Saccharomyces cerevisiae S288C: one gene and its partners. The gene in region 1 interacts genetically with each later gene. Each region holds a gene or a part of one and is shown in the gene's direction. Other genes may lie near its edges.

Region 1 (6,730 bases):
TTCCCCTCCCATGCAGTATTCCATACAGAGATACAAATAGTCTTTGGTTTGAAAGGAATGATACAGTGTCACAATAAATGGATGATCACTTGTCGCGAGAATTTCCTGTTCAGTGAGTACTCGTTTAATTTTCTTCCTCTTGATCATCTCATGTTTATTCAAAACTTTCAGGGCGAATATCTGGTTGGTATCGCGTTCCCTCACTAAATACACTTTACCTACGTCACCTTGGCCAAGTAGTCTAATTTTTTCGAAGGATTGAGGTTCGACAGTAATGTCTTGGAACTTGTTACCGAATGACTTGGTTCTTAAACGACGAGATCTCCTCGGTTCTACAATATCTCCCAAGCTTGGAGGTTGTTTCAAGGCAATGTAATCTTCCCGCATTAACCCATCCTTTGCCGTATTGAACGGTTCGGAAGCGGCCCTCCTTAAACGTGGTGTTATGTTCATAGGTATTTGATCCTTTCTGGTTTCGCTATTTTTCCTTGGGGAATCAATTGGTGAATTGGATAATGACAAGTTAGCCAGGGGGGAGGCACTGCCATTTTCGCTGATTTTTCTATGGAAATTTTGGAGCTCTTCATTTTCGTTAATATCATTCAAAGATCCATTACTCAGGTTTCTACTGTCCTTTGCTATATAACTTGGGGAGCTAGGAGTGTGGAAGGATGACGGGTCTGTGGGCATGTCAAAGGTAAATAACTCCGCGTCCGGAGAAGAGCTACCTGAGATCTCATTAGGTGTGGAGCATATCGCCTCATTGGGTATAAGTGTGCTACTTGTAGTACTATGGACATTTGGCTCACCGATAATGGAACTTTGTAACAGCTCTGTATGTATCGTCGACCGGGGTTCACGCTTATGCGTACCTTTTTCTGAAGTTGACGCATCTGTAGTACCACTGCTCTTTGATCTGTTATGATTAAACATTGATTTGAACTTGTTAAGTTTGGAGCTTGACCAGCTATCGTTGCATTCTACATGCAGGGGAAACGGTATGGGAAGATCTTGCTTGTTTCCATTACAAGCCATATTAATTTGTGAGCTTGGGCTTGCGGACAACGAACAAGAATTGACGTTCAAACAATTGACATTGATGTTTTTGCCAGGAGGTGCATTGTTTTGCAGAGATCTCAAATTACGAGCAAATATTTTGGGTAGCGACATGCTCCTCCCCTTGGATAAGCGTTGTGAGGGGGAACGGTATTCTTGCTGAGTCATGTGTACCAACACTGTTGAACCTTGTTTGCAGTAATCCTTAGGGCACTCAATGAATTCTTGTACGTTTCAAACATACTATAATTAAAGAAGAAGAACTTTCTCTAAAAAAACTGGGGTTATTATGTCTTATGTTACTCCTTGAACAATATAGCTGAAAGAGGGAAAAAGGAAAGTATATTTCCGAAAAAGGATGCCGAAGACGGCGCTATCATAATTATGTGTTTGAGAGGCAGTTCACGGTTACATTCTAGTTCTTCTAGCGTCTGTTGTAGTATGAAAAGTACTTTATTGAATGTCCTTGACATGTTTTCCCAGGATCCAACTTAATGCTCCTCGCACTCATGCATGGGTCGGCCACACTGGAGATAATGATATTTATCTTGATATTCTTTGAAGAGTTGAAGAGCCAGCAGGAGTTTTGGAAGGATGTGACATTCTTAGTGGTTTTGATTTTTTTTTTTCAGTTCTGGCTTGTTCTTTTGTTTCATTGATGACGAAGGATTCGTTGAAGTTGAATGCACACAAAAAAAGCTTGATAACTAGTAATATTTTCTTGGCAGTCACATATATGGAAGGTGAATTTAGAGTAGTTTCCTTATAGCCTAGCGGGCTATTACCTTGTAAATACCACACTATCAATCCTTAAATGTATTGCTAATTGGCTATTAACCTAGATGTTTAGCTATTTATTATCTGTTGTTCGCTTAGCTAGGTACTGCTTTTTATGTTGTATTTTATCGAGAAGTTTAGTGTCGCCAGTTATAAAAAAAAAATTTAAACGTAAAGAAAGGTTATCGACAAATTAACGCAATATTACATGCCCTTTTCACCGTATCATGGTATACACTGGTGCATTAGTAGTAGCATACCTTTGAAAATAAAATGAATAACACTGTGAAGACGTAATGGTGTGTTTAGGCTTCACCATGACCAATTGTAGTATAATTTGCAATTTTATCACTAGGATTGTCACTAGCACATTAAATATATATATTTATATTGGTCCTTATTTTTATGAATTTTTTTTAATCTTAGAATTACGGAGCGTTTATGGCTTCATTGACCAAATAAAATGATTGGGCTGAAAGTTTTGAAATATTTCCATGATTCACTGCGGATGCATCCTATTTACAACAGACAGAAGGAACTGACGTGTTTTTCGTGAATGAATTAGATATATATGTGAAATTATGTTTTTTGTTGTTTGAATTTTTGATTTCGAATTGGATTATTATTCTTTGTTTATCTCATCACTAATTACTTACTGCAAATGTACTTTGCCATAAAAAACTAAAAGATTGATCCTTTTATGCTCAAGCTTTGCTACTATAAGATAATTTAGATGATCTTGGCAGTAAATTTTTTTTTTTTTTTTTTTCAAATTTAGTTCTTCGTTGCCTACATTTTCTTAATTTTGTTTCCATTGCTTGTATCAAAAACTTATGAAATTACAAGCGTCAAGAAGCTGTTTATAAGAAGTAATGAAAAATTTTGAATAAAGACAACTTAACCAATAAAGAAAACCAGGTTGTGTACGATAATGCCGTTATTTTTGGTTCTGAAAGCAACATTATCAGAAAACGTGACCAAGGTTTCAATTGAGAATACAAACGAATCAAGGGCAGAATTTGCCTTCGATCTACAATGTACCAGTTGTAGAGAATTACACGATTCTAAAGTCATCATCAATACATTTGAAGAATATGCTATGCCGGCATCAAAAGGTACCGCATCTTTCTTGATGAAGTGTAAATTTTGTTCAAAAGAATTGTCAGTTAACCTGTGCGCTTTTGAGGATGAATATTTAACTGATCAGAGTGACGACAAATGGGCCAAGATAAAAGATGTGCGGAAGAAGCATGGTTTATCGAAGGTCAAAGAAGATTCTTTCATTCCTTTAAGCCTTGATTGCAGAGGTTGTGAATTAATCAAATTTTATCCCGACACCATAACGTTTGAAGTTTCTCTAAGTTCGGGGAAAGTAATGTCATGCCAACTAGAGGATAATGAATGGTATGATTATGATGACAACCTTGGGGAAGAAGTAACAATGACTGATTTCTCATCAAGCATTATTAAAGGTAAGTAAAAAGAGTGTCTGTTTATAGCATATATACGTACATATAATATATACGGGAAATTAAATGAAGTTGATCACCATTACCATTATCATAAAGAACTTACTACAGAGAAATTTTGACGCCGAACCAGCATACGTACTGACAATGGGTGTAGTAATCCAAGTTGAGGATGCAGCAGCAACAAAAGAAGTAGCAATCCCACTGGAGGAAAGTCGTTGCTCGACATAGGTCGTAGTTGTTGGCTTTGGTGCTGAAGTTATGGCCACTTTTGTTCTCGTTATTATCGTCGTTACTGATGGAATTACAGTTTGGCTGGAACTTGTTATGGTTATCAGTTCTCCATTAGTATCACTGGATGTATATGTAACTGGCTTCACTGTAGTAATTGATATAGTGGATTCAGTTGAATGCACTTCCACTGATGTTGTTGTTATGGCACTTGGGGTAATGACAGACGTCATCGTGACGTATTGAGAATTTAGCTCACTTGTAGCGGAAGCTTGGCATCCTTCTCCACTACATGCAGATATTGTAGCGCTTGATTTATACGTTTCGGATACTTTACACGAGTAACCATCACAGCTGCTAGATGTGGTTTTCTGGCACTCAGATCCAGTACATGTCATAGTATCAGTAACCGTAGATGGAGGAGTAGTGGCAGTTGAAGTCACATCGTCACAGTTGGATCCATTACAGATAGTGGATACCTCCTGTTGGCATTGTGAGTCTGTGCAAGTTAGTGTTGCGATGGAAGTAGTTGGTTGTAGAACAGAAACAGTGTCAACAGTTGGTGATATAGAAAGAGATGGCAACGATGCCAATGATGATGATGATGATGATGATGATGAAAACTGAGACATCAAAATAGACGACGAGACTGGCGATAACGACAATGATGATTTAGAGGACAATGGTAGAGAAGACGCTATGAAAGTGGAGGAAGATACTGCTGTTGCTGTTGGAAGTGTTGATGACGTAAAAGCGGGAGATGGTAAAGAAGTGGATAACAACGAAGTTGATGATGGCGAAGATGCTGATATAGAGCTAGATGATGGTAATAACGGGACAGAGGTGTGTGTTGACGTTAGTGTTGATGCAGTTGTTGTTGAGAATGATGATGATGATGATGTAGAAACAGAGGGGGAATATGCTAACGTTGAAGCAGGTGAGGATGATTGTGTTGGCACATCTTGCGTACATTCAGTACCTGAGCATACTCCTTTCGACAAATATCCAGATGAAGATTCTGATTCTGTTGAAGTGCTCAAAGAAATAGAAGTAGATGTTGCAGATGAAGCGGAAGTAATTCTAACTTTGGCTGTCGAGGAAGTTTGAGTAGTAGCACCTAAAGTCGATTTACTTGTTAATGGACACCAAGTCGTGTATACAGTCTTCAAACCACTTATGGTGGTGGTAGCAGTAGATAATGTATATTGAATAGAGGTCTGAGATAAAGATGAGGATGGTTTTGACGACGAAACAAACCTGTCAACACTGCGGGAAGATTGAGAAGAAGCAGCTACAGTAGATTTTTCTGCCAATGGACACCAAGTTGTGTACACAGTTTTGATTCCGTTGATTGTTGTAGTAGCTGTAGATAGTGAATATTGGGAAGGTGTAGAAGAAGAAGGTAAAGAGTACCCCGAAGAGAAGTTGTATGGAGAGGTAGTACTACTGGGCTTTTCATTTGTTGATATGACATTAGAAGAAGAGGACATTATTGTATTAGTTAAAACGGTATTTGACCATTGAGAGACAGATGTGGTGGAGCGTTTTTCTGAACTTGTGAATGCCAAAGGCAAACTTTGCGTACTGACAGAAAAGGTGGACATTTCTGAGGAGGCTTCTAAGGAACTTTTTTTGGTGGAGGCTAAAGAGGAACTTGACGTTGAAGAAGTTAAGTATGGAAAAGGAGTACTTCTCATTTGCACAGATGTAATAACAGTCGGTGTGCAAATCGAATTAGAACATACTTCGGTACTCATAGTTACGGTTTGATGGGATGACAATGTCACCTCTACTGCCTCCGTTTGTAGAGTTTGAGAAGAATGTCCATTAGAAGGCGTGCCTTTCGAAGTAACAACCTCGGTAATGACTGTTGGGACACATTTGGAATGGGAACATACCTCTGTACTAATAATTAGGGTTTTTCGGGAAACCACAGTAGTATTTATCATTTCAGTAGACAAAGCCGGGAAAAGTAAGCTTCCAGTAGTGGTAAAGTTTTGAGTACCGAGAGTGCTAATAGTTTCGGAAGCAGTAGAAACCTGGGATGTGGTTGAACTCTCGCTAGCAGTGGCCGTCGCAGAAGTAGCAGACACTTGAGTGCTAGTACTAGTAGCTTCGGAAGTAGCAGAAACTTGGGTATTAATAGTTACTTCAGAAGCAGCGGGATTTTTTGCACCTTCGGATACTGTAGAAGATAATACCGTAGAGCTAGAGGTTGATAAAAGGGGGATTGTAGAGCTTGTTGCAGTAACACTGGTAATAACCGTTGGAGTACACTCAGAATGAGAGCAGACTTCAGTGGTCAAAACTAATGTTTTATATGATATGGATGTCGTATAAGCAATACTTGATGCCGGGCACCACGTTGTGTATTCCGTAGCAGCACCGTTCACCGTTGTTGTGACAGTAGAAAGCACAAGCGTTTGCATTCCGCTGGTCTTTAATTGCGTAGTCGTCAATGAATAGTCTTTATTTGACGAAGTTTTGTGAATATTAGATATAACTGCGATGGTTTCGGTTGAATTTGAAGTAAAATCAGTGAGTGAGTTCACACTAGAGCTCACATGTTGGCTGGCTTCTGTTGGGTTAGATACACTAGTAGATGGATACTTGCTGGTCGATCCAAATGTAACGGTAGAGTTAGTAATGGTCGCCGTAGAGCCTTCTGAAGATGAAAAATTTGGATAAGAAGATAAGGAAGACGCAAGATTAACTTCACTGGTGCACAAATAAAAACTATCCGATGTGCCACTAAAATAGGTGGGCTCTGTGATTGAAGTACTTTCGGTCATGAGATGGGTGTTTATAGTTTCAGTCCCCTTAAATGTGGCATCAGACAATTGTAAGGTCGATATCCCCAATGTTAATATTGAAGATGGTTTAGAGGTTTGTGTGGCGCTAATCGTGGATGAACTGATCCCAATTGCTTGTGATTTGGTTTGTGTTAGAGGACACCATGTAACATATTCGGTGATCACCCCGTCAACCGTTTTGGTGGCCGTAGAAACATAAGCCGGGGATGTGGTTGACGTTACAGACCCTTGTGTATTAGTTGTGTTGATGACAACCCAAGTGGTTTGTGACAGCGGAAGAGAAGAGCTTGACCAGTCCTGGTATTGTGAACTTCCGCTTGCAGTTGATTCAGGAACGTTGTTCGAGGCAGCAAGAGTGCTGGAATTGGAGCTCAAAATAGAACT
Region 2 (10,653 bases), on another chromosome or scaffold:
ATCTGTGTTTAAAGTCACTGAGTGATTTCTGAAGATGAAGTTCCTATCAAAATCATCCTTGGATGGAAAATCAGAAATTGTGATTGGTAACTCTGCTGGGGTTGTAAAAGACCTCCATTTACTATATTTTCTGGCCACATATTTTGGCCATACATCTTTCCAACGTATAGGCAATAATTCGTTGGCAAATTCACTACTTACCGGAATGGAAGGACTTTTAATATCCACCCAAGTTTCACTTATACGATGTTTCAATTGCTGTGTGAGGCTATAAGTGTTCGAGTCATCATGTTTTGATTTTTGCCCTTCTGTAATGAAAGCAGCCTTGTCTGACATATTAGAAAGTTTAGAGGATGTTCTGGTATGTGATGAGCCTAAATATGAGGAGGGTGAACCACTCATGATTTCATTACTAGGTAGCCCAAAAATGGATAGGTTTTTCTTTATTATCAAATTTCCACGTTTACTGATAACGTTTTCATCTGCCAGGCCTTTTTGTTGTAATTTCAGGCCACTTATTTTACTTTCAGAAGATGGTAGTGGTGTATTTGAACCTAAAGGTGAGTTATCCACATCATCTCTGAGTAATGTTGACTTTATTTTTTTATTTTTACTTGTGTCTATGTTCGAAATAAATTTTGTAATTACTCTTTGAGTAAAATCTTTCAATGAGTTCCTTTTGCTTAGTCCTTTGAGCGAATCCAGCGCCAAAGATGTGTTTTGGTTATCAGCAGATCTCACAGAGACCAATGAGTCATTCATTTCGAGATTGTCATTGTTAGAAGTGGTGGGAGTGCTAATTTTATCATTTGTAGTATTACAATCATCATAAAAAGAGGCCTCTATTGTTTTTATTGATAGATCTGGTATTACGTTTGGTTTTTGAATATCCTTAATGGCTGGGAGAGCAACTTTTGGACCTCTCCATATGAATTTTGTGTTACCGTGTGTTGTTGTTGCTGTTGCCGGGATTTTCCTTGCCTTCACAACAACATCATTCTCGAAGACGGTATCAAACTTTGAATTTAATTTCTTAGATTGTTTCGTATTAGAGCCAGCGCATAAAATTTTCACCTCGAAGGCATTTTTGTCGTAATCATTCATAAACTCGGATAGTGATTTGACTTTCTTGTTCAGCTGTAAATATTCAACATCCACTTCCCGAATTAACTCATTTTCAGTAATCCCCATCATTTGTAAGTCATAAATTTTACATCTTGGAGTCCATTCTGAGTTACTCTTTTTGTCATGATCATTCCAAAAGAAAACACTTAACCAAAGCGGTACACAATGATGAAGCTTGTTCTCAAAGTCTCGGTACCTAAAAAGTGGAACTATGTGCAATGGAGCTTTTGAAAGACATATTAAATCCATCGTCATTTCAAGAGAGAGTAGTTTTTTTCCTGTTAGCCTTAATAAACTATAATCAACGTCAAATAATCCAGACCCTGGTGAAATAATCATGACGTGCGTTGTAGTGTGTCGAAGATCTAATTGCTTGAAAGGATCCGTTAAAATTGTCGTGGCAAAATTGACCAATTCGAGAAAATTCGACTTGATTACAGGTGAAAATCTTCCATTCGCTACACTGTAACCCTTATCCGTTTGCTTGTTTAATAAATCTTTTCTGATTTCCATAAATTCTTCTCTTAATGTTTCCATAATATCAACCCAATGGATAATACTGACTTGATCTACAACTATCCTAAAATAATCCTGTGAATTTTTCAAAGATTCGCCGGGTGTTAAGTCCTTGAATGATGTATCAGACAAGTCCATTGATATAGCGAAGGCTATAGTGATAGTATGGTGGGTGTCCACATCTTTCCATTTTTTGAAGATCTTCGGGAAAAATGAATTAACCATCTTTTGAAATAATTGTTCACCAGTTTCTTCGAAGTTCCACATTTCATCAGTTATTTGAATCAAAAAAATTAATCTGGCAGATTCGGACCGAAAAATTATCCTTGTTTGTTCGCCAATATATCCAGAAACAATCTTCTTACCATTTCGATAAATTCCCTTAATAGTACCTCTGATAGAGTCTAAGAATGCCAGTCTTTGATCCATAAACACACATGTATCTACCAGCTTAGATGATAGAACCCACATATCACCTCTATTTAGTAGGCAATCTTTGATATTAAACTCTACCACATCTGCCTGTAAGTCAAATTTGTTTGGTTTCAATTTTATCCATATCCTAGACCTAGAAGGCAAATCTAACAAAGTTTGCAGTTGACCCGAAAGTATTGAAACATTAGATGTTTTTGCCCTTCTTTTAGTCTCTCCGTCAAAATCTTTTGCAATAAAATAAATTTTCTTATCTCCGTTCGATGCAGATGGATTTTTGTGATATGTTTTCAATTCTACCAAATCACCAGGTTTTATATCCGGGAACTCAACTAGATTTAGCATCACTAAATTCTCGGAAAATCGGGACTCATGATAGCCTAATTCAGCTTGATACGCCTTTATTTTCAGTCCTGGAATATGATGGCGATGGACCCGTTCCCCATTGTCATAATTGTTGTCACCACCATTGTTGACGTTATCGTCATTTTCCTTATTTGAAATCAGCTTTCTGCCGGAAGCCCTTTGTTGAGAACCAAACTGCTCTTTCTTTTGTCTTAAATTTCTATTGGAACCTACTATCAAATTACCCGATGATAAGGATATGCTATTTGCGTGAGTAGTATTGCTAGTCCTTGGAGTTTGTGAATTGATGGAAGAAATTGGTCTTTGTTTCTTCCCATGCAATTTAGCGAACATCCTTAAAAAGTGTCCCTTGTCAGTGCTGAGTTATTTCCCTGCTTAAAAAGTAGTTACAGAAACAATTCGTTGTTCTGTCACTTACTATCTTTTAAACAATAATGATTAACATAGATAGTGATTCAAATAGTCACGTGATCTCTTTTAGAGAAAGGACTTAATCCGTACACAATGATTTAATTTTTCATTACCTTATAATGTGATAGTCATAATAGCAATGAAGGATTAGTAATTACCAATATAAGAGCTCTAGCACATTAGCTATGAATTTGTCAGCCGCACCAAACTAACATAAAGGTCTTACTATGTTAAAAGTTCTTGTCCTTGAATAGAAATAAATGAATGAATCTAGTACCCTTCCCCATTCACCTAAGTTGGCTAGCCATATTTTCGGAAAAAGAGTGGGAGGAACAAGATGCTAGATAAACAAATATTCATGTTATTAAGCTTAGAATTTTGGCTCTGTTTTGTTTATTTCCAGATTTCTATTTTCTGCTATTCATCCAAAATATATTTTCTCACAAAAGCTGTTAATTTGAAACTAATGTTAAACAAAACATCTCACTTCAAATTGAAGCCAAATTAGAACCTAAGTAACCAACACACGCACAACTTTCATCCCTTATCCCACTTCTTTGAAAACTTTTAGAAGCCATTGATGGTATTGTACATTTACCTATCTTAGCAGATTCCTTATTAGCCGCCGAAATGGGTAATAAGTATTATAATCACTAAATACGAAAAATTTATTCATACCAACCCGCAACATGAACTACAAACCTTTGGGTATATAATGACAAAGACGTATCAAACCAACACATAAGGCTATTTTCAGGCAACTAATATGCTGTTTTATCTGCGGAATTTCACCAACTGACTTTTACTAAGCACTCAATAAAGATGCAGGTAAAATACGTGGATTTATGAATCCGGGTAATATAATTTGTCCACGTGATATTTCACAGAATGAATTTCATCACGTGCGTATTATCTCTTAACTCATAATGCCACAATTACCACCACACAGAGGCAGGAATGGTTTAACTGCTAAGAGACACTGGAAAATTTGAGTCATGGAGATGCGACGAATTACTGGCCGCTGCAAGCAGTTATATAAAGTGTTGGAAGACGATAGTTTTTAATGTGAAATAAAATTGGGATATAGAAAGGTTCCTTTGCTTGTTATTTTTTTTCCATCGTCTTGATATTTATTCAGATCCCTTATATACTAATAAAGTAACAGTAGGGAACGGGAACCAGAGAAAAACAAAAGATTGGCGAATGACTGCTTCTGACCTCTTGACGCTCCCACAATTGTTGGCGCAATATTCCTCTAGTGCTCCCCAAAATAAAGTGTTCTACACTACTAGCACAAAAAATAGTCATTCATCCTTCAAAGGGCTAGAATCTGTTGCCACAGATGCTACTCATCTATTGAACAATCAAGATCCATTGAATACCATCAAAGATCAACTCTCTAAGGACATTTTAACTACCGTTTTTACAGATGAAACTACTTTGGTCAAATCCATCCACCATCTATATTCTCTTCCTAATAAACTTCCATTGGTGATTACAGTGGATTTGAATTTGCAAGATTATTCCGCAATTCCTGCGTTAAAGGATCTTTCTTTCCCCATCTTAATATCTTCTGATTTGCAAACTGCAATTTCAAACGCGGACTCTTCTTATAAGATTGCTACAAGTTCTCTGACCCCAGTTTTCCATTTTCTTAACTTGGAGAAAATTGGCACGAGTACAGCTATTGAACAAGACATCGACTTTCCTACCTTGGAGATTGCTAACGAAGAGACTAAAGTAGCATTATCAGAAGCTACTGATTCATTGACAAATTTTGAACTGGTTAAAGGTAAAGAGTCAATTACCACTGTCATTGTTAACCTGTCACCATATGACGCGGAATTCAGTAGCGTATTGCCTTCAAACGTAGGATTGATCAAGATTAGAGTATACAGACCATGGAATTTTTCCAAGTTCTTGGAAATACTGCCATCTTCTGTTACCAAAATCGCCGTTTTACAGGGTGTCTCTAAGAAATCGCAATCAAACGAATTTCAACCATTTCTTTTGGACTTCTTTGGCAATTTTAATGAATTAGTTTCTAGGAACATCGAGCAGGTAGTGTTGACTAATATTGGTAATGTGAATGATTATGGCAACGTTATCAACACCGTCATATCGAATATTAACAAGAAGGAACCAGATAATAACTTATTTTTAGGTGAATCCAATGAAAAGGCTGAGGAACAAGCTGAAGTTACTCAACTTATTTCTTCTGTCAAAAAAGTTGTGAACTTAGAAGACGCCTATATCAAAGTGCTAAAACAGTTATTTTCATCAAATCTACAAATTTTGAATCAATTTTCCAGTGAGACAATTGAACCAAGTAATCCAGAATTTGGTTTTGGACGCTTTTTAAAACAAGAAGCCCAGCGTGAAGAATTGATCAGCTTAGCAAAAACCTCTCTTGATCCAAGTCTTTACTTGTCCGAGGATGCAAATAAAATTGTTCAACTATTATCTAAATGGTTGTCATTCAATGGACGCGATCTTGACGAAGCTCAATTACAAGAGGCCAATGCGACAGGTTTGGAAATATTTCAGTTATTACAATCTAATCAAGATTCCTCTACTGTCTTAAAATTCTTAAAGATAGCTCCAACAAGCGATTCTTTTATTTTCAAATCAAGCTGGCTAATTGGCTCCGATGCCTGGTCTTATGATTTGGGTCACTCAGGTATTCAACAGGTTTTATCCTCCCGTAAAAACATTAATGTTTTATTGATTGATTCAGAGCCATATGACCATAGAAAGCAAAACCAGGATAGAAAGAAAGATGTTGGTTTGTACGCCATGAATTATTACAGTGCCTATGTTGCCTCTGTAGCAGTATATGCTTCTTACACCCAACTATTGACTGCAATAATAGAGGCATCTAAATACAATGGTCCTTCTATTGTCTTGGCTTATTTGCCGTATAATTCCGAAAATGATACTCCATTAGAAGTCTTAAAGGAAACCAAAAACGCCGTTGAATCTGGTTACTGGCCATTGTATAGGTTTAATCCTGTTTATGACGATCCATCAACAGATAAGGAGGCATTTAGCTTGGATTCTTCGGTTATCAGAAAACAATTACAGGACTTCTTAGACCGTGAGAATAAGCTTACCCTATTAACCAGAAAAGATCCATCTTTGTCAAGAAATCTAAAGCAATCTGCTGGTGATGCGTTGACAAGGAAACAAGAAAAAAGAAGCAAGGCTGCCTTCGATCAGTTATTGGAGGGTTTGTCCGGCCCACCGCTACACGTCTATTATGCTTCTGACGGTGGTAATGCTGCAAACTTGGCAAAGAGACTAGCAGCAAGGGCATCTGCAAGAGGTTTAAAGGCTACTGTTCTGTCCATGGATGACATTATTTTGGAAGAATTACCTGGTGAAGAGAATGTAGTTTTCATTACTTCCACGGCTGGGCAAGGTGAATTCCCCCAAGACGGTAAGTCTTTCTGGGAAGCTCTGAAAAATGACACCGACTTGGATTTAGCTAGTTTGAATGTTGCTGTTTTTGGTCTCGGTGATTCTGAGTATTGGCCACGTAAAGAAGATAAACATTATTTTAACAAGCCTTCACAGGATTTATTTAAGCGCTTGGAATTATTGAGTGCCAAAGCCCTAATTCCCTTGGGACTGGGTGATGATCAAGATGCTGATGGTTTCCAAACTGCTTATTCTGAGTGGGAACCTAAATTATGGGAAGCTCTTGGTGTTTCCGGCGCTGCTGTTGATGATGAGCCAAAACCTGTTACAAACGAGGATATTAAGAGAGAATCTAATTTCTTGAGAGGTACTATCAGTGAGAACTTAAAGGATACTTCTTCAGGTGGTGTTACTCACGCTAATGAACAATTAATGAAATTTCACGGTATTTACACCCAAGACGATCGTGACATTAGAGAAATACGTAAGTCACAAGGCTTAGAGCCATACTATATGTTTATGGCAAGAGCTCGTTTACCAGGTGGTAAGACCACTCCACAACAATGGCTTGCTCTGGATCACTTATCTGATACTTCAGGCAATGGTACCCTGAAATTAACAACAAGGGCAACCTTCCAGATTCATGGTGTGCTAAAGAAGAACTTGAAACACACATTGAGAGGAATGAATGCAGTTCTTATGGATACATTAGCTGCTGCAGGTGACGTGAACAGAAATGTCATGGTTTCTGCTCTACCAACCAATGCCAAGGTTCACCAACAAATCGCTGATATGGGAAAATTGATTTCTGATCATTTCTTACCAAAGACTACGGCCTACCACGAAGTTTGGCTGGAGGGCCCAGAAGAACAGGACGATGATCCATCCTGGCCATCTATTTTTGAAAACAGAAAAGATGGTCCAAGAAAAAAGAAGACTCTAGTTAGCGGTAACGCTTTGGTCGATATTGAACCAATTTACGGTCCAACTTATCTGCCAAGAAAGTTTAAATTCAACATCGCCGTTCCTCCATATAACGATGTGGATGTATTATCTATCGATGTCGGTTTAGTTGCTATAGTTAACCCAGAAACTCAAATCGTGGAGGGTTATAATGTTTTTGTTGGTGGTGGTATGGGTACCACTCATAACAACAAGAAAACTTACCCAAGATTAGGGTCATGCTTAGGTTTTGTTAAAACTGAAGACATTATTCCACCACTTGAAGGTATCGTTATTGTCCAAAGAGATCACGGTGACCGTAAAGACCGTAAGCATGCTCGTTTAAAGTATACTGTAGATGATATGGGTGTCGAAGGCTTCAAGCAAAAAGTGGAGGAATACTGGGGTAAGAAATTCGAGCCTGAGAGACCATTTGAGTTTAAATCTAATATTGATTACTTTGGATGGATTAAAGATGAAACTGGGTTAAACCACTTTACCGCATTTATTGAAAATGGTAGGGTTGAAGATACACCAGATTTGCCTCAAAAGACAGGTATTAGAAAGGTTGCTGAATACATGCTTAAGACTAATTCTGGTCATTTCAGATTGACTGGTAATCAACATTTGGTTATCTCTAATATTACAGATGAACATGTTGCTGGAATAAAATCTATTTTAAAGACCTATAAATTGGATAACACCGATTTCAGCGGTTTGAGATTATCTTCATCTTCCTGTGTTGGTTTGCCAACATGTGGTTTAGCGTTTGCCGAATCTGAACGTTTCCTACCTGACATTATTACTCAGTTGGAAGATTGTTTAGAAGAGTATGGTTTACGCCATGATTCCATTATTATGAGAATGACTGGTTGCCCTAACGGTTGTTCTCGTCCATGGCTAGGTGAATTAGCTCTTGTTGGTAAAGCTCCACATACTTATAACTTGATGCTTGGTGGTGGTTACCTCGGCCAAAGGCTAAACAAATTGTATAAGGCCAATGTGAAGGATGAGGAAATTGTCGACTACATCAAACCATTGTTTAAAAGGTATGCTTTAGAAAGAGAAGAAGGGGAACACTTTGGTGATTTCTGTATAAGAGTAGGTATCATTAAACCAACCACCGAGGGTAAATACTTCCATGAAGATGTGTCTGAAGATGCCTATTAATGATAGCATATGACATAGTAGGACATACTATTGGGTTTTCTTCCCACATTTATTTATTTTTTTCGCAATTGAATATAACTTTTTATTTTATAGAAACATATTTATTTGTATAATCTTGTATATTAACAGTTAAGACTCATTATTGTTATCCTTCGGCTAGTTCGGTTTTTCAATAGCAGATGAGAAACGAAAACTATGAAGAATGAAAACGAGGTGAAGAATAAAATCATATAACAAAATATTGAAAAGAATGACGGCCGTAACTGATATCATCGATGAATTGAATGATTCGAGTCTTTCTTCTACAAGGCTTCGAGAGTTGTGTCTCCAGTTACGAAAGAAGACAGATACTGGATGTGCAATTACGGTGTCCGATGAGGTCAACCTTATTGAATCTCTCTCATATCACTCCATATCTCCAGGAGTAGACATACAAATCAACACAGATGTTTTGCAGACTATAGATTACTACTTTCAGCGTAACAAAAGTGAACATGACGAAATTATGTGCGTCCTTATTTCTAAGTTACAGCCACTACTTTTAAAACGCAAAAGCAACTTCGAACTCAAAGAGCAACGTAATCTTGGTCTCAAACCCACGCTTGGAATGTCTTTGAAAGAAGATAACCTAATGCAGGCGTGGGTAAGTCAGGGTGGCTTGAAAGGCATTCCGTTATTCTACGTAATTCTGTTACATTTGAAAAGGAGAGACATATCTACGAATCTTTCTTGGATTATTCCAGGAATTCTAAACATACTAGATGATACCACTGATATAAGAAGAATTAAACTTCGTGGTGTTCTGCTCCTACAGACGCTATTAAATCATACCTTTATGAACGAAACCAATGACTCAAAATGGATACAGTTCTCTAGTACTGGTTTATTTCCACTGTTCGAAAAGACGCTAATCAATATGTGCTATTTTCTCCCTCCCTCATACAATGCTGATGAAACAATAGCCATATGGCGGGTCGTTTTCCCAACGATACAGTCGTTATATAAAGTAGAATTTTTGGACAATTACACAAAGTATCAATATCACCTGGAAAAGTTCATGTCAGAGATAATCTTGCAAAACATAATTCCTAGGGCTAGCCTTGCATACGAAAATTTGACGTTATACGCATTGGAATGCACAATGAACATACTGAGACTTCAAAGAGAAGGGTCTGTTGTACATCTCCAGAGGCTGATTTTTGTTTTAGGTGAATATATTGTACGAAATCCTTTTTACACAACTTTTCCAAAACTTATTTCAAAAACTCTTTCAGTGGTAAGTACTCTCATAAAGGTTTGCCCGAATGAAAGAATAGTGGCTCACAGATTCGACATTTTATCATTAATTCTAGTTACATACGATAAGTGTTCGCAAGAGGATGCGTTGAACGAATCAATACTACAACAATGTAAGGAAACGATAAGCTGGTTGCTGAATTGTGACTGCGCTATGGGTGAACAGTTATCGACTCTATCTAAGCAACCGCGGTTTCAGTTACTTTTTGAGTTCTCATAGGAAACAGACACAGACACAGACAAATGCATATACATATATATATATATATAACTAGACAGTATATAAACAAAAAGAGTTATTTGCCCTTTATGCTGAAGAATCCCTTTTAAAGAAACCTTGGACATATATTAAAATATTCATTTGCTTATTTACAGATATATTAAGGTAAAGAGAATAATGACTCGGAGAGATAAATCGGTTTCATATTAACGGGTGTTTTGCAACCCGTTCACAATCCTGATATTAGTATCCAAAAACCGATTCACACAGTTAGACAAACATTGCTCTTCTTGCGAACTTAAATTAGAATCATTGACAGACTCAACACATTTTTTGAAGCATATATTAGTGAATTGATGGATTGACATCTGGACTTTTTGTTTGGAGTTCTCTCCCTCCAAGAAAGTAGCAATTTCCTTTTTGGAAGTGTCATCAAGGGAGGCCAAATCAGACGTTGATAGAGAAGACATTCTTTGTTGTTTGTAAATTTGTTTTCCTTTTTACCTCTTCTTCAATACTTTCATATAAATGAATGTTTCCATCAATTTTTACGTTAGTTAATAACTAACCGTTCGCTTTGATATGCAGCGTAACAACAAACAAGACGCATATGACGACAAAGAGGGACAAGAGCAAACGGCAGAAAGTCTCACAAAGGAAACATGGATGTTGAAAAGGATGTCCTGGATGTCTACATAAAGAACCTGGAGAACCAGATCGGAAACAAACGATATTTCTTGAAGCAAGCTCAAGGT
Region 3 (7,436 bases), on another chromosome or scaffold:
TTTAAGAAAACCGCCGTAGTCGACGGTATCTTCGAGGAAATTTCACTGGAAAAGTATAAAGGTAAGTACGTTGTTCTAGCTTTTGTCCCATTGGCTTTTTCATTTGTCTGTCCAACTGAGATTGTTGCGTTTTCCGATGCCGCCAAGAAATTCGAAGATCAGGGCGCCCAAGTTTTATTTGCCTCCACCGACTCTGAATATTCCTTACTGGCATGGACCAACCTTCCCAGAAAAGACGGTGGATTAGGTCCAGTTAAAGTTCCTTTGCTTGCTGATAAGAATCATTCCTTATCCAGAGACTATGGCGTTTTGATTGAAAAAGAAGGTATAGCTTTAAGAGGTTTGTTCATAATCGACCCGAAGGGAATCATTAGACATATCACTATCAATGATTTATCTGTTGGCAGAAACGTCAATGAAGCTTTGAGATTAGTCGAAGGTTTCCAGTGGACTGACAAAAATGGTACAGTTTTGCCATGCAACTGGACCCCAGGAGCCGCCACCATCAAACCTGACGTTAAAGATTCCAAGGAGTATTTCAAAAATGCCAATAATTAATCTTCGCACGATAACGCTAGGCCCTATTAAATAATTAAAAATACATCACCCTATATATGATAAGAAAGATGGTTTTGTATTATTATGAAATTGACTTGAAAGAATAGTGTAACAAAAGAAAAAGAAACTGTAATTGAAGAATGATATGCATTTCTATGTGTATATTAACTTAATCATCTTTATATCCAGAAGACGCAAATGACCATTCGACGTATTTTTCCCATGCAGGTTTGTTTTCGTATAATCTGCCTGCAAGATCCAAATAACTTCCTACTGTTAACGAATCCATTGAGTATGGTTTCTCGTCTGAGGTATATTCTATCTCATACCTGAAAATATCCTTAGATTCAACAAATGAATTATGTAATTCTTGATTGATTTTTTCCAAGTCGGCGTAGAATTGGACGAAACGCGTCGGAGTGAATAACTGCGGTACATATGCAGGGCCGAGTTCGTATTTGTCTGGCATCTCAATTGGCATAGTCTTGTCATTTTTCTTTTTCTTCTTGTTTTTCTTTTCGCCCATCTTCTCGCGGTTGATCCCAACCTCGATATTACTGCTGTCCATTTCATCTTCTAGCAAAGAGTCTTCCATAATCTTATTTAGTGACTCGAAAAATTCATCCCAGGGCTTATACTCCGAAACTGCAAAATTGGAGTCATTCACTATGTCGGTGATGTTATATTCCCAGATCCTAAAGGAAGGATTGAAAGTTGGAATGACTGAACCACCTATGTTCACAATGGAATAGCGTTCAATGAGCTCTTTTCTAGTGATTGGCTTTTTCTTTTTTTTGTCCTTCTTTTCTTTCTTTTTCTTCTCATTTTCAACATTTTTTTCATCCACTCTTTCCAGCTTATTCCACACTTTCCGATAGTATGTGTCGCGGACGGTGTTCATATATGCTTCTTTGTTAGATGGTTTCGCTCCCATTAAAAAAACTTCTTTTGCCGCCATAGCGTGATCCAGAATTCTATTCAATTCAGTTTCTTCGTCCTCTTCATTACTGTCTTCTCCTTGTTGAACACGAGTGGATTGCTCCATGGCTTTCAATAACGATTTTCTAGCTTTTTTACCATCCGTTGGGATGAAGTGGTCAATATTCATGTGACCGTATAATCCTCCAATGATTATATCCCTGTATTCGTGAGTCCATAGCGTGAACTTATCGTAGCACGACTGATCGAAATTTTTTGCGATTGGAGGTACATGTCCACTTAACCATACTTTCATTCCCCTACTCCTTAGTTCTTCTAATACATAACCGAACCAAAGTAAAAGTTGGTAACCTGGTTCTTTTTTTGAATTACAATTGTCAACTAACGGATTGGCCTTGAATAAGTACAGCGTGTTAATTGACAGGACAGCAAGCTTCCCTGGAATAACTTCAGTCAAAAATGAAGCACTCCTATCAAAAGTTCTTTGCTGCTGCTGCGGAACAAAATTTTTCCAAATCCTATAATATTCTCTAGTTTGTAGAGTTGGTCCTAGTGCAAACATGTTATGTGGAAAGACATCATTGTTTCCAAGACTTGGAATGACAGACACATCAAAATCTCTTGGATCTTCTTCATTGCCAGCACTAAATAATTCTGTCATTTTATCAGCAACGATATTGTTCATATCAAAAATTTGTGCTTCTGTTCTTGGATGTTTCCGGTCATTGTCATGTCTGATATTATCACCCGTCCAAATGACAAAATCAATCTTATCTCTAAGATTTTCTTTAATCCATCTCAGAGTTTCTTCCATTAAAATAACGGGAGAATCACATCCAGACATTGCCTTCCCAAACTTGGGTGCCACATCCTTTTTTTTGCTTGGTTTTCCTGTGTGACAAACTGCATCAATAGAGCTTCCTTCCACATAATAAGGGTCAGGATGAATATCGGTAATATGAAGGAACCGTCCATGTAATTTTCTCTCCTTCCCTGTCTTTACGTCTTTGATAATTACTGGCTCCCTAGGTGTCAGTCCTAGCCTTGTAAATTCTATGTCATTGAGCAATTGAAGTGACTCGTTGTCCCCCCTGTCATCTAAGAATTTGGAGAAAACGGAAACATATTGAAATTTAGCACCAATTATAAACACGAGGAAAAACAAAACACAGGTCGACAGGATGGCAATCAATGATTTCTTCTTCGGCCTACTCATGCTTACATTGCGCACTTCACTCTTACCCACTACAACCATCGAAAAGCAGCTAACTAGCTCTACCCCTACTCAATGAAAACAATAGCTGGAGACAAGGAGATCAAAAAAACTTTATAATTCTCCAACCCAACAACCAAAAAAAATATTGATCTGTTGATTTTAGCCTTCTTCTGACTTGTATTCTACCATAAAACCCTTTACACTCTCAAATGAATCTTGGTAATTAAAAGTGCAATATAACTTTAAAGGTGCTAAATTCTAATAACGACATATGTCCTCAATAGTCGGGTAATGGTCATATTTGTCCTCTACCGTACGAAGGGAGCATATTATGCATCCTGCTCGAAACGCTCAGAGAAGGGCCGCACAGGTGGGCAGATCACATTTCCTCTTTCGGCTATAAACCACGTCCTAATTTGGACATGACGCGCGCCAAAAACCCGGAATGGTAAACATCAGACGCGCTTTCCGTGCAGGGATACGTCGGTATTTTTAATATCAATGCTGAATTGGGTTAATAGCATGAGACATTTCAGCCAGATTTTTCGTTTACTCATTGTTTATTTGTTTGATCTGGATCACACAGATGAATGTTTATAAATATATATATGGCGTCCTCCCGATCTTGCCAACGTAGATTATAATTCGTATTATCTTCTTCTTTACCCTCGCCAGCCAGTGTAACTAGCATTTGTAGGGAAATAACAATAACACAAAATATCGTATATATATAACATGGAAAGCAGAAATACCGTGCTTCCTTCTTTACCAAACATTATTACAGGTACTTCTAATTCGCCTTTCCAACTGCATACTTTGCCAAATACAAACTTCCCTAGTGATGACCAAGGTGACATCAGGTTGCCACCATTAGCTGCATCTGCGCACATTGTGAGACCAGTGGTAAATATTTATAAAAGTCCTTGCGATGAGGAAAGGCCAAAAAGGAAAAGTCCACAGGCTGTGGATTTCTTATCACAACGTGTAACCACTTCCATGACGCCTTTATCCAAGCCCAAGAAGCTGAGCTCTCATTCACCATTCACGCCAACGGTCAGAGTCTGTTCTAAAGAGCAGCCACCTCAGAGTATGCACTCTTATAAAAAAGTTAATATTCTTACTCCTCTATCTGCTGCAAAGGCTGTTCTCACACCAACCACAAGAAAAGAAAAGAAAAGGTCATTTGCCTTTATTACACACTCACAGGAAACTTTTCCAAAGAAGGAGCCTAAGATAGACAATGCTCGGTTAGCTCGTCGGAAAAGAAGAAGAACTTCATCATATGAGCTTGGGATATTGCAAACAGCATTTGACGAATGTCCCACGCCCAATAAGGCTAAAAGGATAGAGTTATCCGAGCAATGTAATATGTCCGAAAAATCGGTTCAAATATGGTTTCAGAACAAAAGGCAGGCTGCTAAAAAGCACAAGAACAGTGGCAACACCAGCCATTGCAAAGTTCACTCTAATGATTCGATGTCTATGATATCTTACTCAGACGCTGCGTTGGAAATTACCTCTACGCCAACGAGTACGAAGGAGGCTATTACTGCAGAGTTGCTGAAAACTTCACCTGCCAATACGTCCTCGATCTTCGAAGACCACCACATAACGCCTTGCAAGCCCGGCGGACAGCTCAAGTTCCACAGGAAATCTGTGCTTGTTAAGAGAACATTATCAAATACCGGTCATAGCGAGATTATCAAAAGTCCTAAAGGCAAGGAAAACCGCCTAAAGTTCAATGCATACGAAAGAAAACCCCTTGGGGAGGTCGATCTCAATTCTTTCAAAAACTAATCTTTCTCAGTGTTTATTTTCTTGAGCACTGATGCTATCAATATTAACAAAAACTACACAAAGTAATGACTGAGACTACACCAACGTTTTTTTTTAGATTTAAAGCGGCCTGTTTCATAAATCTATATAGAGATGTAATATTATATTCTTTCAAGGGTCCATTTATCCCTGAAACCCTGTACAAAAAAAAGGCAAGTTGAAATTATGGTCACAAAATTAATTTTCTTTTCTTTATTTATTTTAAAAAAAAGTCAATTAGGAAGTGCTATGGAAATATATGTACTCGTACAAAAAAGATTAAGCTTGAATAATCTTATCAGTTTAAGCTCTTCTTCTACCAGTGGTCTTGGTGTGTTGACCTCTAACACGCAAACCCCAGAAGTGTCTGATACCACGATGAGCTCTGATTTTCTTTAATCTTTCCAAGTCATCTCTCAATTTGGATTCGACGTTGTTAGCCAAAGTGTGGTAGTCCTTACCATCAGTGATGTCATTTTGACGGTTCAAGAACCAAGCTGGGATTTTGTAGTGAGTTGGGTTTTGCATAATTTGAACAATTCTTTCCAATTCTTCTTGGGTCAATTCACCAGCTCTCTTGTGTAAATCAACATCAGCCTTCTTACAGACCAAGTTGGAGTAACGACGACCAACACCCTTGATAGTGGTCAAAGCGTAAACGATCTTAATGTTACCGTCAACGTTAGTGTTCAACAAACTGCGTAAAAAAATTTAGACGGGAAACCGAACTTATTGATAAACGTTAGTAAAAAATGTGCATAATGGATTTCACGGCCAAGACAAAAATCGGAGCAGGATATAAAATTTTAGTGTTGGTTGGTCAATATCCGCCAATAGCTGATTCATTGTAAAGCATTCCCGGTACTTTACCTCCGACCGCTATTGCAATGTTCCGTAATTATGTGCGCTTATGCCAAATTCATGTTCCTTTTTGATGCATAAACCATAAATTTGTTCATCAGCCTTATTATTACGTTCTTAGTCCAGCCCGGGAACATCATTATTATATTTAATCACGTCGTTAGCGAATAATCGCCACGATTAAAGAGGTGAATGAATTTCCTTTCTTGTCTGTCATATTTTTAAGTTTTTAGCCGATTTTGTCATAGCTCACTAGTAATAATAAACATACCGTAAAATGTGTTGGAAGGAACCTTGTTCTTGGACAACTAAAGACATCTTTTATCCGCTCTTGTGTATACGTTCACTAGTATCTCAACGTTTAAAAACTCTACTAATAACATGTAGAGCTATCTTCAATTAACCCTAGCTTTGACAATACTTAGTGGTCGAATGACAGATGTGTCCGACCTGGCTGGGGCGACATTTGCTCTCCCGGGCATGATCTTGGGATGGGCATATGGGACTGGGAAAGGCATCTTTCGGAATCGCAGTTCCCCTGAGCGCGCGTCTCCGCAAGGAAACACCATATGCCGCTTCAAATTTCTAAAAGCAGCATGTAGAATATTTTCAGATAGCATGCATGGGTGCGTAATGTACGGATGTTTAATGTCTTTTTAATCATTGAAATTAAATGTACTTTTTTGTTGCCAGACACGAAACTGTACGCCAGTAAGTGATGTGGATGCTATTTTAAAAAAGTTTTGGATATAATGGCCTGCTGTTCCTAAAATATACTAGAATTAATAATATCGTTCTCAATTTATGCTCATGGGCCGTTTAAAAAAAATACTTTGTAAAAGTTAATTTAAGGTATTGACTGCACAAGTGACAAATTATAACCACATCTCTATTGAAACACTTGCCGTGATCAAGATTATATTATACATGTATGCTATTTAATTTTTTCAAGTCCTATTTTTACTTGTTTTCAGGTGCAAAACTGCTTTAGCGCAATACCGGTAAGAATAACGAAAAAAACTTGTAGTATCAGTACTTTATGCTGCGGGTGATAAAGTTCGATGCGTCAAAATATTACTATATCGTTAACATTATGAGCTTTTACGCGAAGTGGCTAGGTTCTATTTTGTGCTTTTCCTGCGCTGTCAGATATAAGCTTCATTAAGTGATGGGAATCCGAACACGCTTTTTCATCCGGGTATTCTCTTGAAAATTTTTTAGAAAGATCTGGGCGATGAGCTAAATATCAGGAACACACAGTGAACGTGAATAAACACATATCTAAGGGCATAACATTGTGAAATTGACCAGAGATACACACATCACCGATTTCTAATAATGTCGAAGACAAGATACTATTTGGAACAATGTATTCCTGAAATGGATGACTTGGTGGAGAAAGGACTATTCACTAAAAATGAAGTTTCATTAATTATGAAGAAAAGAACTGATTTTGAGCATAGATTAAATTCCAGAGGGTCTAGCATAAATGACTATATAAAATACATTAACTATGAAAGTAACGTCAATAAATTACGTGCCAAGCGGTGTAAGAGAATCTTACAGGTTAAAAAGACGAACAGTCTATCTGATTGGTCTATTCAACAAAGAATAGGTTTTATTTATCAAAGAGGAACGAACAAATTTCCACAAGATTTAAAGTTTTGGGCAATGTATTTGAACTACATGAAAGCGAGAGGTAACCAAACATCATACAAAAAAATTCACAACATTTATAATCAGCTTCTAAAGTTGCACCCAACGAATGTGGACATTTGGATTAGTTGTGCGAAATACGAATATGAAGTTCATGCTAACTTCAAGAGTTGTAGAAATATTTTTCAGAATGGGTTGAGGTTTAACCCTGATGTGCCTAAGCTATGGTATGAATATGTAAAATTCGAGCTGAATTTCATCACTAAGTTGATTAACAGAAGAAAAGTGATGGGTTTAATCAATGAAAGAGAGCAGGAGCTCGACATGCAAAATGAACAAAAGAATAACCAAGCCCCCGACGAAGAAAAATCTCATTTACAAGTTCCATCCA
Region 4 (6,670 bases), on another chromosome or scaffold:
TCAGCTAAAACTAGCCAAATTAGTATTGCGGTTTCCCACTTTAAAGATTATATGGTCTTCCTCACCCCTGCAAACTGTAAATATAATCCTAGAGTTGAAATTAGGACGTGAGCAACCTGACCCTAGTAATGCAGTTATATTGGGAACGAATAAAGTTAGATCGGATTTTAATAGCACTGCAAAGGGCCTGAAGGATGGTGATAACGAGTCTAAATTCAAGAGACTGTTGAATGTTCCTGGAGTGTCAAAAATTGATTATTTCAATCTCCGCAAAAAGATCAAGAGCTTCAATAAGCTTCAAAAGCTTTCATGGAATGAGATTAATGAACTTATTAATGACGAAGATTTGACGGATAGAATATACTACTTCTTGAGAACAGAAAAAGAAGAACAAGAACAAGAGTCAACAGATGAAAATCTTGAATCTCCTGGTAAGACCACTGATGATAACGCTTTACATGATCATCATAATGATGTTCCTGAAGCACCTGTGTAAAATATTGTTTAATTTAACGAACCCTGTTAAAACATCAGTATAAAATGCGATTAACTATAGTGAAAATAACAATATTCATTTGGTGACTTCGACCGTATATGTTATAAGTTAGACATGCTCTTTGAATCTTTTACTTTGATATTTTATTCCGCATATATATTCTTTTTTTCGCGTTCATAGTTTATTCACTCAAATTTTTCATATCATCCGCAATTCATCTTCCACTTTTTAGCAGTAAAAATGACCAAATGAAGTTCATTTATTTTTGATTTTTTAACCGTATTTGGTGGAATCTGAGCGTGGCATTAGTGAATCATTTTAAGCCAAATTACCCGTGAGTTTTTCTTAGAAGCGCACAATCATATTCATTATTAATAAATGCTTCAAATTCATCCTCTTGAATAAGGTCCAGAAATAATTTTGTCTCTTTTCCATTACCTATGTGGGTAAAAATTTTCTTTTGCGACTAAGATTCAAGAGACCAAGTTTCTTTTCCACAACGATATATAATAAACCAAATGGTACAAAGTAGGAAACAACAAATAAGGAAAGCTTTTTCTTAAGTAGATTTGTATATTTATCCAAGAATGAACGATGTGTCTCGTAAACAGTAATTCCTTTTAAATTTTATATTTCTTCTATTTTCTGAACTTTTTTACTTAAGAAAAAATTTGGAAATCATTACCTGTAGGATGGCTTAGCTCTGATAATCAACCTACCAAAGTAGTTTGCAGTTATGTGCACTTTTCCCTTCATGTTAACATTATTCGGGCCGGTCTATTGTTAAATAATTAAGGGTCCATTTTAGGCACGGCGGATTCACAGAAAACCACGCAGTGCTCAACGTCATATACCACAAAATCCGTTTTCGTATTAAAAGTGAATGTGTCAGTAAAAGGCATTCTTTTTAGCGTTCATTATTTCCTTTAATATGATGTACCAATCTGTCCACTGCCTATGTAAACTTAAAAGGGAGGCATTTATGACTTGAGATTTGGTTAAATTACCAATATCTCAAGGGTAACAATATTTGCTATACTGGTCATCTAGAATAAAAATACTGCGTTGTAGTGCTGAGTGATAGAACTTTTAAATCATATTATGTTATATAACAAAGAGCAGGGAACAAGCGGCGCTAGTAGCTCTGGTCGTAGAACGAAATTCCACTTCGATCGTTTTGTACAAATGGTTCTGTTCATTGCCGCTAATCCCAATTATTGCTGTTCAGTAGCCAGTATCCCGAAATCTGGTGTCACGCCAGATTTAAAAAGAGCAGATATTCTTGAACAGAAGATCAAAAGCTTAAATAGTGCGCTGAGTCCAAAATTGAAGGAAGAAAGTCGTCTTGGTGGGCCTTTGCATAACCCCTCTATTCTACCAGCCCCATCTTTTTCATCACTACCAATATCATCCAATGGAAAGAAATCTTTAGCAGGATATAGACCTAAAAGTAGGAAGAAACAAACTATACTCCCCAACGGTCAACCAAAAGAGTGCGCCACTTGTGGTGACACCTGGACTTCTCAGTGGAGAAGTGGACCTAATGGAAATGTTGAGCTATGTAGTCGATGTGGCATAGCATATAGGAAAAAAATGGAGAAAAAAATACGATCGCAACAATCCTCCGATGATGGTACTAAAAATTTTATATTTAAAAATAAATAGTTAAGTAGTTTGTAAAGATGGTATATTCAGCGGATTCTTCCTCTATTTTTATGTTTTTTGAGATATTTCGAGCTTTCTATTTTTTTAAAATGCCTGAATTTCCATCTTCAAAAAAAACATAAAAAAGGTACTTTACCACCAAATAAATGATAACCACAATTTACTTTACTTATCCTCCACTATCAAGTATCTTCCTACCAGGAAAAATGAATTTCAAATGATTCGAAATTTACGGAGGCTCAATATAGAGATAGTGTGACGATGTTCATAAGGGCTTTACCGCTTAGCACGTATCTACAGTTTTCACTCAATAATATATTCTCTAGGAATGATTGCCAATAGATTGATATCCAAGAGAAGGTTCAATTAAGGAATTTCATTTCGTTCTAATCTTTTGTTGAAAATAAAAATTTTTACTTATATGTTAAAGCTTAAGATTCCACATAAGGTCGAAGACAATCGTCACTAATGTGTGGTTCTGCCTGCTCATCTCTAAAATATATTACTTTTTGTACAGACATCTAAATTGAGCTGGTGCTTATGCTATTCTTATGATTTATTTTCAAGTGGTTTATTGAACTTTATTCCATATCCAATGATCTGAATATTTCTACTTATGTATAATAATTGTATATTATAAAAGAATAACTATTTTAAAGCGTCGGTTAAAATCAAATGGGCAATAAATCTTCTCATCCTAATCGCATCTTTATAATCAAAATCCAATGGCGCATCTGCACTTCCATAGAGAGTATTCATACAAACATATATTCCACAGTCGTAGCCATTTGGTTGCTGCGGACAATCTAAATGAATCAAATCAAAGTCTTCTCCTATTGTATGCTTACTTTCCTCCATAACATATTTTTGCAAGTCAGTCAGTATAGCGAAACTCATAGCATTTGGACCATTCGATAATGAATCTACGTAACCTATAGTTTTCTTTTTTAAATCAATTATGCCCAACGCCCAGTGGGATTGGTTCAAATTTATTGGTGTAAAGATTTTATCAAGTTTATCAATTTGTGTCTTCTTTCTCTTCATCCACCTCCGGACGCCTTGATAACCCCTTTCTGATAAATTGGTATAGAAAAATGAATTAAACGCCACTGTATTAGGGGTAGATTTTTCAATGTATTTCATAAAAAACTCAATGATAGTGTCATTTAGCCATCTTCGTGGTGCCAAGGTCTTAAAATCACGTACTGTTATCTCTATATTATCTCTATTCATTAACTGAGTATTTTCTCTAGATGCCAAAGCTTTTTGTACTTGGTCATCGTCTTTTTCATTTAATTCAGGAACAAGTTTCTTCTTGGCCAATTGTTCTTTCTTTTTTTTAAGATCTTCTTGAATCTTCTTTCTTTCATTTAAAATTTCGTTATATCTTTTGAAGTCTTTCTCAAACTCTAATATAGATCTATCAAACTTCAACTTTTGATTTAAGTAATCCTTATGTTTCCTTTCCAAAGAAGATATCTTTTTTTCTTTAACAAATACTAAATCATCATCATTTTCATTTCTTGTCTGTAGTCTGTTCTTGTTGTTCTCAATTAAAATTGTTTTGATCTTTTCAGTTAAGTCGATTATAGACTTTTTTAAGCCAGTGTCTTTTTCCTTATCCATATCCATTAATTTTAACTGTCTTTCTCTTTCTTCTTTTAATATTTTTGGAACTTTATATTCTCCGTTGAATATTTGTCGTAAATATGTTACTTCCTCAGATTGTGCTCTCGACACCAGTTTAGTATTGTTAATGTTCTGTTTTGCAACTTTTTTCTTTCTAATAAAGGCTGTCCCATACTGTCGCCTGTCGTAGCTATTTTTCTGATCAGAAGTGTTATTTTCTGAGTTAGAACCAATAGCACTTGTTTTCCACTTATTCCAACCAAAAGGATCTCTCGAAAAAGTTATGCTATTGTCACTATCACAATTGCTTTTTTGAGAAGCCAAAGAGCTGATTGGTGAGGTTGAAGGTGTCCCCACACCTTCACTTTCGATTCTTCTCCTTTTATTTGGTAAGGCCCACGTCGACGTATCGAATTTGTGTTTTCTTGTATCCGAGGAATAATTTTCACGTAGACCATATGGTACGTCACTGCTCCTACTTCCAGAACTTCTGCTCTCAACGTCGCTGTTACCACTTGCTTCTACTTCAGAACCATCAAAATTGCGAGGTTCGTTTTTCACAAATGTGTGCCATAAGTACTTACCTGAGTTCCAAAGAGTTTCTCTTATGCCTCCTATAAAACCAGCTTTACTAGCTCTATCTGACCCATCTTTCATTGATTCTTCCATTGATAAAACACGGCGGTCGTTTAAATAATTGAATCTTGACGTATTGGTTCTTTTTTTATAAATACCACTAAAACTGGCTGATCTTCTAGACTCGGAGGGATTGTTCAATACCCGAGGATAACACCTATATGTAGAAATTGGGGAGAATAAAGGGGAGTAAGGGTTCTTTTTATGATACTGTAGTGTGTTCCGGTGCTTATCTACTTCAACTGACATTATTATGATATCCAAAGGTCAGAGGAAGAAGAGGAAAAAAACTGAAACAGAAGTAGATATTGATGAATAATTTTAATTAGCAATATAGATTTGCGGAGCTGAAACGAACGTTTCAGCTATTTTTTGATCTGGGTTTAACTATCACACACATCTTCTCATTATGTGCATTTTGAATTTTGAAAATAAAAAGAGGCGGCGCCGGCACCTGCTGAAAGCTGTTTAATATGATTTAATACGGAAGAGCAAATATGTATAAATAGAGAACAATTAATTAATTATGATAGTAACTGGTACTTGTGTAATATATGTGTATATAAAAAATATACATGTTCTTATTCCCCAACCAAATTGAAGATAAAATCTTGAATTGGTTTTAGTGTACGGGGTAACGAAGGCTGGGAGGAAACGTTTACTAATCCTCTTTCCCTCCTAGCGGCCTCTTTAAAAGCCACACTAAAGTTAACAACCAAGGTAACGATTAATACAACTGCAACCAAAATAGGTCCCACAGGTGCATCCAAATGCTTACCACTTCTACCTTTAATAAGAGTTAATCTTTTTAAGTAGGTTCTATAAGCCCATACTCCGCAAAACAAAGTCAAAAAGAAATATACATAGGCCAACAGATCAGCTAGTTGTGGAAATTCGGCTTTTTGCACTGAATTATAGATAGAAAAGGTCAATACACTCAGCAATGTGGTTACACTTAACCATCTATTGAATGTACGTTCATTGGCGAGCCAAACTTTTGCCTCAACTTTGACAGGACCGGCATTTTTCAAAAGGTGAACTGGTTTTTTAACTCCCGGAGGTAATTGGAAAGAAGAGGCACTGTCTGTATCGTCGGAGTATGGATCATTTCCATTTTCTGAAATATTTTTTCCAGCAAGAATTTTCAAGAAAGCTGCATTCGTTTTGAATTTCTTCCCTTTTTTGACTGCAGATTTCTTGGGCAATGCAGTACCTTCTTCATCTGATGATTCGTGATCTTCTAAATCTGCAATAACGTGGCGAGTATTCTGATCTTTTTGCCCTTGTCTTTCAGTGGTCTTTCCATCTGGTACAGAGATTTTGGATAACCTTCTCATATTATCAAGTTTATCATGAATGCTCTTTTGTTTTTGTAAAGTTTTCTTCTCTTCTTCGTAAGCCTCCTGAGGGTTCTTTCTGATGTCGGTTTCTAAATCGGGCAACCAGAATGGCAAAATGTTGACATATTTATCGTCTTCACCAAACAGTGAAGCCACACCTTGCAAGTACAAAGAAAATTTTGGAACTTCGTTAACTAAATGTGAATTAGTTAAATCTTTAATCCACTCATAATTAGGCATTTGAGAATTATCTTGGTTTATAACCTTAATCTCCATTACAGAATAGGGGAACTTCGAATATTCTCCTGCTCTTAAAAACCTCAATGGGTTGGGAATATTGGAATCAATATCGTCACGGTGCCAATTCTCAGGGTTCCTAATGGGCCTATTTTTGTCCAAAGAATCCTCTCTAATGTACATGATATTGGAATCGATAGTGACTCTAATACTTTGATCTCCAGGAATTTGGAAAGCAGTTCTATTATAGGTAGCTCTCAAAACTGGCTGCAACTTCTCCTCAACAATAAAGTTTTGGATGTTATCAAAGTCTCTAGAAAGTTTTTCCAGTTCCTCCTTTTGAGTACCCCTTTCTCTTAGTTGATTAATTAAATAGTTTTTGTAACTGGGATCATTTTTAAAAATAAAATTGTTGATGAATTTGGCTTTCATTTGCAATCTGATTTCTTCAAAACTTGAATTACCAGTTTCGGTATTTTCTGTAAAAGTTCTCTTTTCCAAAAATATGTCAGGTTTGTCTAGCAGTTTACCGATCCATCTTAATCTCAGCGTAGGTGCACCGCTGATTTTCAACAATCTGTTATTGTACAAATCAAAAAAATCGTTGTCGAAATATAATGTAGTGATTGTTGGATCATATGACTGTGGGAAAATAACGCTCTTTGAT

What was found.
Region 2: mutations in YCR090C (region 1) and MET5 together harm fitness more than expected from each alone (negative genetic interaction), as found in Saccharomyces cerevisiae (one large-scale study listed by BioGRID).
Region 3: mutations in YCR090C (region 1) and YHP1 together harm fitness more than expected from each alone (negative genetic interaction), as found in Saccharomyces cerevisiae (one large-scale study listed by BioGRID).
Region 4: mutations in YCR090C (region 1) and ECM23 together harm fitness more than expected from each alone (negative genetic interaction), as found in Saccharomyces cerevisiae (one large-scale study listed by BioGRID).

The regions. Positions count from the first base shown.
Region 1 is NC_001135.5:268,898-275,627, reverse strand, and holds YCR090C (uncharacterized protein), read left to right. Parts: upstream 1-2,764; coding exon 2,765-3,313; downstream 3,314-6,730. Other genes in the region: putative serine/threonine protein kinase KIN82, read right to left, coding at 1-1,224; FIG2 (Fig2p), read right to left, coding at 3,365-6,730.
Region 2 is NC_001142.9:676,686-687,338, reverse strand, and holds MET5 (sulfite reductase (NADPH) subunit beta), read left to right. Parts: upstream 1-4,053; coding exon 4,054-8,382; downstream 8,383-10,653. Other genes in the region: GTPase-activating protein IML1, read right to left, coding at 1-2,772; TTI2 (Tti2p), read left to right, coding at 8,633-9,898; protein transporter TIM8, read right to left, coding at 10,105-10,368; MCM22 (Mcm22p), read left to right, coding at 10,561-10,653. UniProt on the Saccharomyces cerevisiae protein: Catalyzes the reduction of sulfite to sulfide, one of several activities required for the biosynthesis of L-cysteine from sulfate.
Region 3 is NC_001136.10:1,358,194-1,365,629, reverse strand, and holds YHP1 (Yhp1p), read left to right. Parts: upstream 1-3,448; coding exon 3,449-4,510; downstream 4,511-7,436. Other genes in the region: thioredoxin peroxidase TSA2, read left to right, coding at 1-558; PPN1 (endopolyphosphatase), read right to left, coding at 728-2,752; 40S ribosomal protein uS13 RPS18A, read right to left, coding at 4,832-5,225, 5,661-5,707; snoRNA-binding rRNA-processing protein UTP6, read left to right, coding at 6,728-7,436.
Region 4 is NC_001148.4:509,504-516,173, forward strand, and holds ECM23 (Ecm23p), read left to right. Parts: upstream 1-1,597; coding exon 1,598-2,161; downstream 2,162-6,670. Other genes in the region: ssDNA endodeoxyribonuclease RAD1, read left to right, coding at 1-496; SUMO protease ULP1, read right to left, coding at 2,810-4,675; VTC3 (vacuolar transporter chaperone), read right to left, coding at 5,008-6,670. UniProt on the Saccharomyces cerevisiae protein: Involved in morphogenesis. May be involved in cell wall organization and biogenesis.